Linked DNA regions of Lepisosteus oculatus. The protein of the gene in region 2 interacts with the protein of the main gene of each other region in a pairwise test. Links are inferred from orthologs where the notes say so. Each region holds a gene or a part of one and is shown on either strand. Other genes may lie near its edges.

Region 1 (8,079 bases), on a different chromosome or scaffold from region 2:
AAAATGCACACAAGTGCCCACAATTAAATAGTAATTTTTAATGTACAAGATTTTCTGAACGCTGTCGCTGTGAGGGAAATGCCTCTTATTTTTCTTCTTTTTAAATGTTGTACCATCTGTGGTCGTCATGATAAAATTTTTCTTTAACATTAGCTAGTTAAAGGATTGTACAAATCCAGCTTCAGACAAAAGCTGCCGTTTCATATTGCTATGCTTGAGAAATGATACCGTAGTCCACCCTACCTTAAAGAAGCCTTTGCACCCTTCACAAGTACGCACTCCATAGTGCTGGCAAGCGGCGTTGTCCCCGCACACTGCACACAGACCCTCGTTGGAAGGCGATCCCCTTGACGGAGGCGACGGGACCTGGCTGTCCATCAGCTGGGGCCCATGTCCGAGCTGAAGAGAGTGTGGGAAGCCTATGTTTGCCTGCTTCCTAATAGCACTGGGGACGGCAAAGCTCTGGCTGTCTACCACATGATGGGCACCCGGTGTCTCCGGGTTCATAGGTACGTGAAGAGGACCGTCAAACCTCATCTGGCAGCTTGACACCGGGGTACCAGGAGGTGACTGCTTAAACGAGAACAAGGAAAGCCTTGACACGGGATTCTTGCGTTGATCTATCATATGAGTGGTGGCCACGTAGTTTTGATGGAAACTGTGGAGCGAACCAGGCTCATCCCACATAGGGCTGGGCTGAACCTGGAAGTTGGGGGTAGTGGGAGTAGGGGGCGAGGAGGGCTTGTAGTACATTGAGCCAGAATGGGGCATCATCTCTTCAGCCTGTGGTGGCAGGTGGCTCTGTTGATGGTAGCTGTGCATCTGAATGTCTTCCACCTTGATGGCGGACTGCTGTCCAGAAAGAGGCATTTGGTATAAGCAGGGAGGCTTTACGTCGTAACTGGTGTTGTAGTTGTCCATGAATGTGCTGAAACTGGGAAGAGAAGTGGTGGCTGTGATCTCAGTGTTGGTCAGGTCCATGCTAAACTTAACAAACTCAGGAGTTAGGAAATCGGAGCTGTATTCTCCAGTGGTGTGGTAGCTGTAGCTCTGCGAAGCTGGACTGGCTCCTTGAGGTGATGACCCATACTGAGCCTGAACACAGGGCATGGCTGTAAATGAAAGTTTCACAAATGCTCACACTGTCAAAGCGATCACCCTCCAAGCACAGGCTTGATTTACTCTTAAACATCCAAAAATGTAGCATGCCATTGTCTAGATAAAATATTTAACAAATCCAATGTCTTCACTTACATTTCATTAACAAAATAAAGCCATGCACACATCTTTAAATTATATTTTTGGATGCAGAAAAAAGAGCAACTAGCCAACAACATAGTATTTCATTTAAAAAAATATCATATGAAAAGGGTAGCATGTCTGTATTAATCTCTGAATATATACAGTAGATGTGCAGGAGAAATCCGTGATGATGTATTCTGAAACATGCTGCATTTTATTATCAATAAAAGACACTACAACATGACGCTTCCACTGTTATTAAAATGCATTGTACGTGTTGCTTTTGACTAGGTTAAACATTTATAGTTTTCATTTACAGAAACAATATTAATACTCCATACCTTCAGTCGACGGACTGTGTTTTCCGGAGGAACTTGAATTGGACAGTGTCGTTTAGTCTTGTTTGAAGTTCAGGTTTCGAGAAAGTAGCGCGCCTCGGGACTCTTCCCTGTAATACAGAAGAAATGTAGTTTATAACCCCTGTTCATTTTTCCGTTACAATGGACAGTGCACATATGTATGCAAGTGCTTATTTAAAAGAGTTTCTTTGTAAACAAAACATGTAAACAAAACAATGTATCCAATACAAAAAAAGCTACATATAATAAAAATCTGAATGGTTTCGCGTAATGTAACAATCTTCACGCTTATAAATGGAAATAATATTTCTTCATTTTATTTAGGTCATTTTTGTTTCCTTATTCCATGTCAGATATTTCATGAAGCACAATGTTATATTGTTATTTGAAAGAAGCATCATTAACAGGGATAAACAGAAAGCATGGTTATATATACGCGTGAGTTTCAACAGGAGTCACACTTTAAATATGAAGCATGTACATAAAGTTTTCTGAATATTTGTATTTTGCTGCTTTTACAATTATGTATTATTCTATTCTCTCTAAACTTATTTTTTGCTGTTATTAGCAGTAGAGGTAGTAGTGCATTTGTAGTTGAGAACTGTCAAAAATAATAACCGCAATTGCTATTAAGCAGCTAATTATACCGGCTTATACTGTCATTCACGTGTCTGAAAGCTGTGAAATCGCCAATCCAACTCAGTAGGCGAACAGAAGAACAAGGTGGAGTCAGCAGGTGAGTTAGAGAATAGTTTTAGCCACATCAGTCAAATGCAAAGGAAAAAGAGTTTTAACGGTTTCGCAGTAGTAAGAGAGACAGCGATTGTACACTACATGTGAAGTTGCTTTATCTTTTCAATAACATGGTCAACACATTATCGACATTTAAAATGACTTCCGTAACAAAGCAGGCGAACTAAAGAACATTTTAAAGTACCTGACAACCGATAAAAGTAACAGTAACACTTTCAATTAATGGTCGTTTTTATTGCCATCTATTCTCAACATTTTATCATTGCTATTAATGTACGTTACTGTCATTAGCCATATCTTCCTACGAGTATCAATTGTATACGTAAGTAATTCTTTCGCCCAACATATCACAATTATGAAAAAAAAATTGCATACACAATACAACACGCACAAATCATGTTGAATAGTTAGCGGCTGTAGATGATGCTGTGAAATAGCTTATTCAATCCAAGCCCATATAGCAAAATAGAATAAAATATACCTTTTTAACTGCAGCGTCCCGTGCTATCCATGCAGAAGATCTGCTAGTAGTGGTCTAACGTAGTTATAAAAAAAGAGCCCCAAACAATAAGCGACAGAACAGTTGTGAGAACAAACAGAATAGGATTAAGTGCGGCTATCGCACAGAACAGTACAAGACACAAGCCGAGACTGGTCCTTCCCTCCAATGTGCCTTTGTTTATGTGAGCTCTGAATACCACAAAAAAATTCTACGTCATCGGCATCGTCAATGACTTAGGCCAATCAGTGTCTCGAGGGGGGGTTAGACTTCTCCGTGCTGTTGGCCAATTCCTTGACGTATTAAGCTGAGCAGCGTTTTAAGGTAGTAGGGTACCACGGTTCGCTTCACCCGTTCCCAAATCAGAAAACCCAGAAACGTAATGTTTGTAAACAGGTGTAAAATGGTATACAAGTCTGATATTCCAGTAATGGATTTTAACAATTGCGTTTTTGCTTACCATGATGTGTCTCCCTTCTGGAAGTAAGCGGCGTTGTGTGTGGCCTTCGGAATACGCTGTCGCCTCAGAAGCAGATGTGAGACACGACATTAATGAAGTTGTCAAGAGAACTCTGGCAGATATTACAATCTGGTCAAATATAAACCCGTTTATTTTATGCATTTGATTTTTTTTTTTGGGGGGGGAGGGGGGGTAGAGGTTATTGGCATGTTGAAGCGTCTTCAGAAAAGTGAGGCGTCCCGTCAAGTGTGGAACTAGATGTAAGTTTGCTTTAGGGAGTAAACCCCTTGACAGTACAGTAACATTGCCTGCAATCACGTAAATATGCGGAAAAAAAACAACAACAATTTGAAATACACTCTGATGTCCTTCGGCATAATGAAACTGTATTATAGATTCGGTGATAATACTGTGTGAATGTTATCCTAATTTTTGTTTTCCGTGCCAAATGCTGGTCCTGCAGGTCTTTATAGCACGCGTTCACAATATTTTATACCGTGTAGTACTCAGTCGTTGCACATACGGAATACTTACATTTATAAAAGTCATTATAATAATGATTGAGGTCCAATTCAGATGAATTGAAACTCTAGAAACACATGATTACAGATGTTTATTTTTCCCTCGTAAACTACCACCCTCTGTCCAACATGAATCACTGCACCCTTCAACTCACGGTCTGTGGATACAAGAGGCAGTCAGAAAGTTGCCATTTCTTGTGAAGTACACAATCTGCCACATTTCAAATAATGTATCTAATTTGTATTATATATGGGATTGTTCTCAGCCCTCCTCTATCTTGCTACACATCTAACTGATTTACATGCGTTTCCAAATTTAGACCTCTAAAAAGAGTGGGTGTGTACCTCAGTACGTGACTACCTTAATTTTCCCAGCTGCTTGTGTTGTGAGAGCAGACAGAGGGAGCTCATTAACAGCGGAGCAGCGTCAGTTGTCGTGGGCGAACCAATTTAGTCGAACGAAAGGGAAAAAGTGATAGGGGGTGGCAGAATGGTGCATGACGCAGGGAACGCCGCCTTTGACGCAACCAACAGTCTCTGCCAAAAATAGCAGTCACAGCCTTTTCTTGTTTTTGGTGCTCTATTATTATTACAGTAGGACTCTATTATTGATCTTATAATGGGCCGTGCTTCCACCGACTATTTTAGCTGCGATCGGAAACTGGAGAATACATAATTAAAGAAAGAAGTGGTCTATTTTTATCCCAGAACAACACCACGTTGTTGTTTTTTCTAAATTGAAAGCACGGGTGAACTTTGGTGCTTAGCGCAGGAGCCATATTTCTGCATAAATCCCATGCAGCAACTTGTTGCGCTGTACTTGGGGAAATGAAGGGATTGCTTTTCAGTCATCAAGCTAGCTTTCGCCGTTTGTCTGTAAAACACGTGTCAACCTTAAAATGCTAGTCTTTTTCTCTAGATATCGACTGGGTTGTGTTTATAGAGCACAGTCTGGTGCGCACCGTTTCATAATTTGATAACATTAACTCGGAAAATGAAACTTTCTTGCGTGCTACGTCAGTGATTCAAAACCCATCCACTCACTTGCATCCGAGTTTAATACAATAAACGATCCTGCAGTCTAACCTTGCACTGTATTCACATTGAGGGAGCCACAGGGGGTGAAAAGCGCATTCAATCACATAATTCAAAGATTAACGTCGATTCGCTTTTGTCAGTGTTCAAGCTTTTCGTGCCAGCCTTTCGATTGTTAGAAAAAAAACGCAACATCCGTGTTCATTTCAAAGTTTCTTTATTGGAAATCCAGCAATAAAGAGCAGTATTTCTAATACTGGTATAAATCCTACGTTTTTTGAATTGCAATGATGTCCACAAGGTAGCATGCTACCAGCCCTCGTCAGTTCATGAACACATGAACTACTTACAGGAATATCACTAATGTGGTAACATGCCCGTTTCAGACAGCTGTGGGGTACTGATCAAAATAAATAAAATTCACTGCCCACAGTATTTGTGTCCATTACGGCGCATGAGACTAGGACTGTTCCTGGACGTTTGCTCTCTCCAGCAGAGGACGGTGTTCTTCATTGCCCATCAGCACGTTTACAAACATCACCACTTCACTGCCCAGGCGCCCCTGTATATGAGAGAAAGTAGATTAGCACAGTATACGGTATATAACATAATACAACACATTTTTAGTATAGTACATAGTACATAGACATGCTTTATTGCTAGTTTCACAAAATGTTTTTTAGTTACGAGACTAAGTGGCGGTTCTTCAAATATCACTTTAAGATAGGATCATTAGGAATCATTTAAAATGCTGCGTTTTTTCAGCACTTTCTCGTTTTAAAGATAAATGTGCTGCCATTATTCTTTAGCGATAAATGATTATTTGAACTTCACAGAGCGTGTGCATGGTAAGATCGGATACTGTACTATATTTACGGTACTGTAAGTGAATACTATAACACGTGCATCCTTATACAACTGTAGTATTACACCACTCTTTAGATTACATCTACACTGATTTTTTTAAATAAATGCATTTCTTTACGAAAGTTGAAAGATGATTTTTTTGCTAGCAAATTGTGATAACTAAATAGACATGTCTTACAACTATATTGTTTTTTTTCTAGCTAGGAAATCTAGAAAATGAATTCACATCAGGCTGTAAGAGGTGGAATCCACATTGAAACCTTCAGCCATTATAGGCAATGGTATTGGTTAATTGCTAAAATAATGTGGCACAAAATCAGCCATCAGTGATATTCTGTAGTTGTTAATGATACTAGTGTGAAATATATTATGATAGATGTTCATTGTTTTTCGATACACTATTTCTTTCACTTCTTTCTTTTTTCAAATGTTATTGGAGATGTTACAAATACAATCAAAACATAATCTATATAAATGATCAAAAATGGCAAATGAAGCAGTTACCAATTTAAAACATGTCACTGTTGGATGATGCCTGACTGAAATGGCAGCCCAGCATCTGAACTTCCACATGAAGGAGTAGCACAAGGCTCGTGCACAATACCTAGACCAGGCTTAACAAGAATCTAATGAGCAAACACTGCCAGCAGGACAGAGCTTAATCCTTTGGTTGATATCAACAGGCACCTACTGAATATTGGACAATTTAGGAATGGCACTGGGAATCGCCACTTGTCATTTTTTTCTCTACAAAGGCGATTTTTGTACTTTGCTTGGTTTGGCTGGAAAAGTGAAGCCTCACAAGCAAAATTCCAGATCTGTATTGTGCCCAAGTGCATCATTCAATATGACACTCTTGTAAACCTGGCAAACGGCTTTAATGAACTTTTAGTCCGCTATCACTTTTCACCCACAGAAATCCGCCACAACCAAGACTATAAGAAGTAATCTGGTGCTGCACAGCTCTGTTACATTTCCACGAGAAATAGCAGAATTCAGCTTTTCAGTTGTTACCATAGCATCAAAGAATTAAGGCACTGGTGCTGTCCCGAAACCAGGAAGCATGTTCTTATAATGAATTTTGATAATGGTCTGCTAGCACACTGAAGGTTAGTACTGAATGCAGGATAGGGCGGTTTAAAACAAGACTGGTGGGGAAATTTGGTTTATTTTGTGTCTGTCAATCCTAAAGAAACACAAAGTTCTGATTTCTTCACTTGGCTGATTTTCTTTTTTTTTTAGTGTCCATATGTTAAAAATCTAAGAATTGAACACTTTGCATTATTAATTAATTTTTAAATAGCGTGAGAGAGAAAAGGGAATGCTACAAGCTACAATACGAGCTGCTGAATTTCAATGATTATGGCATTTCTTGTTTTTCACTAGAGATGCTATAAACTTCACTGCAACCCTGTACTTGGTAAAGTAACTAACAAAAATGGACTGATGTTTTCTGGACCTTCCAAGATTATCGCACAAAAAATAGAACTGCCTACTTGTATGCAGTTAAGGTGCATAAATATACAACCTGAGTGATGCAAAAGAAATATGTGAAAAACAAATACAACTTCAAAAAGTGTCCAATTGTAAGGACAGAACTGAGGCAGAATGGAGGTAATCTTATTCCTTTCCCCTTGGTCACTTGCCTTGGTCAAGGAATGAATTTGTAAATTCTTCTTTAAACTGTGGCGGTGTGCTGCATTCAGTGAACAGGGAGCGAATACTGCCTTGACCTGCTGTCAACCTCAAACTTCAAAGGTTTCACTCTTTTTCAAGTTATTGTTTAACCCATTACATATTTTGAACAAGTTCCCAACAGCTTTATATTGTATTTACTCTGAAAACTAGGAACACACCGAGGTATTTGAGAACAAAAAAAAAACATCTGTTCAACTGTTTGGCCCAATGTTCTTGGTGGTTTAAGAATAGTTTATTGATTCACTTATTTTCAGTTAATATTTTCTTATTATTTCCACCACAACATTCTTGATCATCTGTGATAATCAAGGTGATAAACTAATATTCAAAATATTGTTAAAATGATAACAATCAGTGTTAATGTTTTTGTTGATGCAAACGCATGACATCCATAACACACACAGCATCTCTTCATCGCTCTTCCTGCTCTTAATGCCGAGTTGCGATTGTTCGGATGAGTTTCCTCTGGTGCATTTTTGTCTGTGAACTCTAGGGCAAAAGGTTTGAGACTAGCTAGACATCTGCTACAGTGTAATTTTTTCTTTACTCTTACAAAGCTAATTAATTTAGGGAACCCTTATATTTTAAAAGGCAGATTTTGCTGCGTGTTATGGAGTAATTATAATAAGTGTTGAATAGCAGCAT
Region 2 (7,486 bases):
GAAGCCCATGTCCTGACCAATCAGAAAAACACAGACTGTTACCAAGTCCTAAACAGACTGTTAAACCCCCACACAGGCCAAAAGGAGAGAGAAACCTTTCTTCTAAGCCAAACAAAATATCACCTAGCAGCTATTCTCTCTCTTTATATGTAAAACTGAGTGCTACAAAGCAAATGGAAACCAACCTCCCTATTCTAAAACATGCATTCATAACCAGGAGAGGTCATTTTTAACCAGGGGATTCTTAATGCAGGAAATCGGATTTTCGCAAAAACAACAGAACAGCAGGTTTCCTTAAGAGAATTCAAATACTGAACGAGAAGCTGGGCTTTGAGTTTGATGTGAACAAACACCTCTCGCCTCCGGTGTCTCCCCCTCCTCTCCCGTTTCTTGCTTTCTGTCCTCTCCTCTCTTTCCATCCTGCTTTCCTGGCCTCTTAATGATTTACCCAGAAATTAATTACCTAAAGTAAACCTTGCGATTTATTTGATCAACATGTCTCACAGACAACCTACAGCTCTGCAAACAACCATTTTTTTTACACTTTTCTCCCACTTGGTTCCACGCTCAGGGAACTGCAGGTGTCGACACTAGCTACAGAAGGAGTTGGTCAACATTTAATCTAACTATAACAGTACATTATACTACACCTGTATAAGAGTTAACTGTACCCTTGCTCTAAAATCATCACATACCGAACTTCAGTGGAAACGTATATCAAATGGCTTATTATAATAATATTAAATCTTCATCTATACAACTTAATCCAAAGCATGACTAAAACTTTTAATTGGGTGATTAAATCTTCTAATGACCTGTGTAATCTGGGTTGGGATTAAAGGAGAGCCCTGTGGATATTGGCTCACAATACCAGTAACAATCTGTTCTTCAAATGCCATCAGTTAGTCTACAGATCATCTTATTTATAATATACTAGGAGGGTTTTCATCCTCAACTAGCTAGCTCTACCTTCCGAATTTTACTTTTATTATCACATGATTGACAGAACAAGTTTACTTAGTGAGCCTTAGAAGGAAGAGAAAAACTGACAAGCTTGTTTTTCTTTTTCTTAGACTAGATGTGCGTTAGCAAAAACATCAACCCCTTAAGGTGAAATACTGGTTCACACGATAGCAGAATTCATACACTGCAGATCGCATCGGTTTTATCACCTCATCACTTCAAACAGTAATTCCAGTACTCTTTTGTTTTCTAAAACACAATTAAGTGCAATAACCAACGCTAGGTTCCAAGTGCGCTACGCTTTCTACACAGTGCAACAAGCATCCACGCAATAAAAACACACTGAGCAGGAGTGTGAAGGTAGCCAGCAACATTACTGGAGGACGACAGCTACAGCTGTCAGAAATCTACTGTACCCAAACACACAGTGCAGAAATAATCACTGACTGTCATGACTGCCCCTTGCACAGTGAGTCTAAACTCCTTCCATCTGGGCATCAATTTAGACTCCCCAGATTCCACTGCAATAGAACTAAATTAGCTTTTATTTCCTCAGCTGTTAACATGCTTAATTTGGACAACTGTATATTTTACTTTATTGTTATTTTTTCTGTCTCATTTATGTGTGCCTGTCTTATTTGTTAATGGGATTATGTTGCGTTCAATGCATTGTGTAGTGTCTTATGTTTTTCGCCTGCGTGCAAAGCATATATCCCATCGGGGACAATCACAGGAAGTCAAACAGCTGCACACAACAGATCAAGGTGCTTCCATCCACCGCCACGCGCACTGTCACAGCAGATCCCTTGGAATGGCCGTTTTCTTTGATCTGTTTCTGGGGTTCCCCCCCTTTCCTAAGGGGCACATTTTCTTTGAGGACCCCTGACTGACCCCCCATCCCCCATCCCTTGCACAAGATTTCTCATGAGATGTAACTGAACCATCACGGTCAAACACCCTCCTCACCTGCAGGGCGGTTCTCCCAAATTCGTTGGGGGTGTCGGGGTGTACCCCTTTCTGCAACATCCTCCGAACCCCGAGAAGGTCTCCCCTCGCCGCCGCGGCCGAGAGCATCTTCCCAGCGTCTGGGTCACCCAGGACCATAGTGGATGATGCCGTTTCCTTTACCTAAAAAACTTGGTCCTTTCCGGGAGACCGCTTAAATATGGGCGTTTCTAGAATTGAATTACTACGTTTTAAATGTCCCCTCGGCTGTTAACCCCCTTTTAACCTGGCTCACGCAAGTTATTCTGTATCTCGTCTTCTCACTAAGCGCACTTTGATTTGAAATATATGGCTGTTCTTCCGGCTCGGATCAGCCTACACAGTTTTAATCAAATCACGGTCTATAAATATATACCGTGCCGCCCTACATACATTAGCATCACGCATACGTGACCTGTACACTTGCGCCACGGCTACTCCAGAACCTGAGGAATATGAACCACCCTGACAGATCGTATCCTCCCCTTCGCCGAGTTTCAGTTTTCCTTCTTTTCATCAGCAGCAGAGGTTTTACAATCAGTCTCAAGAACAGCAACAACAACAACAACAAAGAGCTGCATTTTGTTCCAGTACCGCGTCCGCTTTCGCCCAGTTGCTCCTTTTGTGCGGCGGGACCCGAGTGGTTAAATTTAGACAAACCGGCTTTGGATTTTCAGAACGTGTTCCGCCAATCATCGCCGACTGTCGGGAAAATGTGGTTCCAAATAAGGCAAAAAAGGCGGAGACGGGGTTTGACGGTCATCGTATCACCTCGTAACGATTGAACAATGAACCAATAGGAAACGAATATGAGAAGGCGGGCTATTCAATTAAACGGAGTAGTTAAGCAAATTCATTCATACGGCAGAAGAACTAAACCGCTAAGAACTTGAATTACAAGCTCCTACGAAGCAAAGAAAAAAAGGCGGTTCATAACGCCCTGTGCATTTGCTGACATTTCACACCCTAAATTATATCTCAGACTACATGAGCCTTTAAATACTTAAATTATAATCGTTATATTCTCGACTGTCTGCCTATGCATAAAACATGATCTGTTTATTATTAACGTTTACATTCGGGAATAGCGTTAGTTCTACAAGTAGTGCAGTAGGGGATTTCTTAATGTTTTAGTCTGAAAGAATGCCACATACATGTACGTTATTTTTTCCATTGGTTATTACGGTATTTTAATTTTAGTTAAAATTACACAAAAAAAACTAAGCTTTACACAAACAAAGTCTGGAAAGAAATGATCTGGTAATCATGCAGGCTTCTGTGTAATTTTAACAACGCTCAAGACTCACACAGTATTATTTACAATCACTCGATTAGAATCAAAGCAAAATTACAACCAACACCATCAAAGCAACAGTATGTGACTTCCTACAAAATGGCATCTAACAAGGCAGTTTATAGGTAACTGCACCTTTAATGTGTCTTGTGTAATTAATCTTAAAAAATCCTCTATAGGTTTAATTTTGAAAACAATCAGGTTAATTAATTAGCTCCTAGGGTTGAAACAAAAAAAAACTGACGACACAGAGCCCCTCGAGGGACTGAGTTTGTGACTCCTGATCTAGAGTTTAGCAGATTCCAACCCCTTGCCTTCCTAAATTAATCAATGGAATCAAACTAAAGCCTAATTGGACGCTTAAGCCAAAACAGGGAGCATTTCCTTTCTTCCTCACATTTCTTGAAAGTAAAAATATACTGTATATGTTACAATAGCACTACAGGCAGGCTGAAGTGGATACTGTTCAGTTCTTACAACCCATTTGCAAAGCTTATAGTGTATTTAAAAACAGATACCTCTATGAAACTGAGAGCTTGGGTACAACAAAAACCAGGATATACTAAGCCCTCAAGGAGTGGAGTCTCACACCCTTGCTCTTGGATACTCTAATACAGGTCTCCTCACTCCAGATCCTTATGACCACAGTTTGCCAGATTTTGGTTCTAGCTCAATTATTTGTGCCCCAGCATTTGACGTATTTAAAGAATTGCAAAACTTTCTTGAGTAATTTGCAAGCTGCAACCTTTAAGGAGCGGCAAAGATTAAATTGAATTGTGGTCTAATTAAATTACAAGTTCAGTTTAGCCTGTTAAGAGTCCAGCTGGAATGAAAACCACCAGACAAGGACAAGGACCAGCAGTGGAAATCCCTGCCTTAATGATTTGGGAATCGTTAACATGGTTCAATTAAGACAATAATTAGTGGAAATGGGCAGTTATGAGCACAGCAGCCTTCCAGAACCCTGACCTAAAATGATCACAAAAATATCTATCTGGACAGCAGGGCTGCTCAGCTTGCAATCATGCCTCTCCAGTCCAGTGTTTAACTGGGCTCCATCCAGTTCCCACATCACTTATCTGATAACCAGGAGGGTCACAGGACTCGTAAGGGCTTGGCTGTACCGAAGCACTGCATGCAGACAAGCTGACCAGGAGGGCAGCCGTGCTGAGGCAGCCCTGGGTGGATGGCTAAGGGGAGACAGTAGGGGAGGAAGGCCGGGTCTACACAATCAAATCATTCAAAATCTATGCATTTAAAAAAAAAAGTTGAGAAATTTGCTCTTTATAAATACAAAGGCACCGTTTTGGTCGCTTGTTCAATGAAACCGCAGGTCCTTGACTCTTTTGCCCAGGGAATATTTCTAGGAGTTGGTCCTCAGCTGGTAATCTGAAATAAATGGGAGATTTCAAATAACATGGTTTGCTTTTCAAACTCCATTTTCATCCTCTCTGCTCTTCATTTCTTAAAATGCAACTCTGCAACTCACAACTGGCAACCCACAGAAGCTCAGCAGGTGTGAGCCTGGTCAGTACCTGGATGGGAGATCTCCTGGGAAAAACTAAGGCTGCTAATGCATGCGTCCTAATGCCCCAGTATAGTGACGGGGACACTATACTGTAAATAGGTGCCGTCTTTCGGATGAGACATAAAACCGAGGTCCTGACTCTCTGTGGTCATTTAAAAAATGCAAGGGCGTTTCTCGAAAAGAGTAGGGGTGTAACCCTGGCATCCTGGCCAAATTTCCCACTGGCCTTTACCAATCATGGCCTCCTAATAATCCCCATTTATGGACTGGCTTCATCACTCTGCTCTCCTCCCCACTGATAGCTGATGTGTGGTGAGCGTTCTGGCGCACTATGGCTGCCGTCAAATCATCCAGGTGGATGCTGCACATTGGTGGTAGTGGAGGGGATCCCCATTACCTGTAAAGGGCTTTGAGTGGAGTGTCCAGAAAAGCGCTATATATGCAATTATTATGATTATTATTATTATTAAAAGCCTGTTGAGGACAATTTTTTTCTTTCCTCAAAATGCATTAGATAAAGAAAAGGGCTGACTTTCACATCAGGCAGGAAGTGAGAGATATCCTGTTCACACACCCACTGACTCATTTGGTGAAAAACCAGCAGCACAGAGACCAACAATGGGAGACAGACAGACGCATTGATCACAAGAAACAAACTCCTCAGTTCACACACCAACCATCTCTTTCCATGCAAGAGAGTGAAAGGAACTGTGGTAAACAATGGCACCAGCTGTTAAATGGTTTTGTCAAGCCACAAGAAATGTAAAATAAATGAGTGAATTAAGAGGTGTGAAAATAAAATGATGCCAAGGATATGTGAAGGTGGGTGGCACGGTGGGGAAGTGGTGAGCATTGTTGCCTCGCAGCACTGGGGCCCTGGGTTCAGCTCCTCGAGCGCTGTGTGTGTGGAGTTTGTATCTTCTCCCCATGTTCACATGGGTTTTTTCCCACAATGCTGGTAGGTTAATTGGCTTTTGGGAAAATGGACCCTGGTGTGAGTGTGCATGTGTGTCTGTGTCTTTCTGTGCCCTGCAATGGACTGGCGCCCTAGTCAGGCTGTACCCTGCCGTGTGCCAGTTGCATGCTGGGATAGGCCCCACCTCCCTCATGACCATGAATTGGAAGAAATGGTTAGAAAATGGATGGATGAGTGAATGATGAAAGGGATCGTGTAAGAAAGCACATCGTACCTCCGCTTTGCGTGATGTATCGGACCCAGGGCAAGGCTTGGTAGCCACTCTTCTCAATAATCTTCATGTACCGCACCTGACAGAAACGCATGCCGTTAGTCACATTCCTGCCCAGCAAAGACAGGGATCAAAACCCCCACCGGTGGTACTTAACAAAACATCACCCAGTCAGACAGCAACTGCAGATTAATGAGAGAGATTTGGGACCTGTTCATAACAGCTTTTCAGAACTAACAGGGTCTCTACGATAAGTCTTCTACAAAACTCATGAGCTGAAAGTCCCTCATGTGATTTTCTTGGGAAAAAACACAGGTATAAACTTGACACAAGTACAACAAACTGTCAGCTTTCCAAAGCTAGTCAAGGGGGCAAGGCATTCTGAGAATGTATCTTATTACCAACAAACTGCATTACTATTTGGTCTCTTCAAAAAAGTTCTGCTTTTCCAGGTTTGTGTGGGGATAATGGTGGGTCCTTAGAGATTTGGGCAAGAGCCCCAAGAAGTTAATTCACGGCAGGTCTTTGTTTCTTTATTGAACTAGCATTGATTAGAATTTAAATTAAACCACAAGGTGCAAGATTTTTATGAAGATTGTAAGGTCACCATCTATACATTGTAGATGTTGATGGTAAAATTTGTTCCATGAATGCTCTGGTTTCTTCCCACAGTCCAAAGACCTACTGGTAGGTTAACTGGCTTCTGGAACAATTGGCCCTGGTGTGAGTGTGTGTGTCTGTCCACCGGTGACGGACTGCTGTTCCATCCAGGGTGTACCCTGAGCTGTTAGCAAATGGATGGATGGGCGTTTCATCAATGTGGTCTCTCGGTCTTGATCTGGGGGGGAGTGGGTATATAAATGTACCTGGATTCCAGACACAGTGAAGTATGGGATCTCGAAGTTGACCGTGATGGGCGGCTTTCCCTCCGCCTCATCGTTCTCCACGCTGGGCAGGCCAAAGTGCGCGCGCATCAGGAACTCCTTCCCTCCCTGGGTGAGGAGTGAGACACAGGAGCAGACAGTCAGGCAAGCTGGACTGCCAGTGGACTGAAGAGAGCTCTAGCTGACAGCGTTAGAGGCTTTTTCATCTCTAGTCCTTAGGGAAACCCTGGTTTAATAATAATAATAATGATATTAATAATAATAATTCTCATTATAATTAATCTCAATGTACTTCATGTAAGAGTCTTAATAAAAGTGGGGTCTTATGCTGCCAAGTTCCGATGACCTAACAAGGGTCATTTTCTGTGCCTTTCAGTAGTTTCCCTTCAGCTGCCACCGTAGGACTTAAGACTTAATGGAAGTGTTGAATTTTTTAACGTGCATTTCTCTTTTTTGCTCCGTTATGTCCATTTTGTCGGTGATCTTCCTCGTCTCCAATCCAGCCTCGTGCTGCTTGCGCCACCAGCTTTCCAGGGGCACTCTTGAACCGCGCATTTTAATATGTCTTGAGCCGGGCACCAGCAGGTTTGACTGAACATGCCAAGTGCATAGCACTCCCCTGGACACCCTCCGACACCGGCCATGA

What was found. The genes of interacting proteins can lie anywhere in the genome.
Region 1: the proteins of cdkn2d (region 2) and nuclear receptor subfamily 4 group A member 2 interact in binary tests that used the Homo sapiens proteins (3 or more experiments, as listed by UniProt). The two-hybrid records come from large-scale screens. The link is inferred for Lepisosteus oculatus from reciprocal best matches to the Homo sapiens genes CDKN2D and NR4A2.

Annotation. Positions count from the first base shown.
Region 1 is NC_090707.1:12,359,880-12,367,958, forward strand, and holds the start of nuclear receptor subfamily 4 group A member 2, read right to left. Parts: upstream 3,005-8,079; 5' UTR 2,836-3,004; intron 1,691-2,835; 5' UTR 1,584-1,690; intron 1,113-1,583; 5' UTR 1,111-1,112; coding exon 244-1,110; intron 1-243. UniProt on the Homo sapiens protein: Transcriptional regulator which is important for the differentiation and maintenance of meso-diencephalic dopaminergic (mdDA) neurons during development.
Region 2 is NC_090706.1:16,474,172-16,481,657, forward strand, and holds the start of cdkn2d (cyclin-dependent kinase 4 inhibitor D), read right to left. Parts: upstream 3,022-7,486; 5' UTR 2,068-3,021; coding exon 1,930-2,067; intron 1-1,929. UniProt on the Homo sapiens protein: Interacts strongly with CDK4 and CDK6 and inhibits them.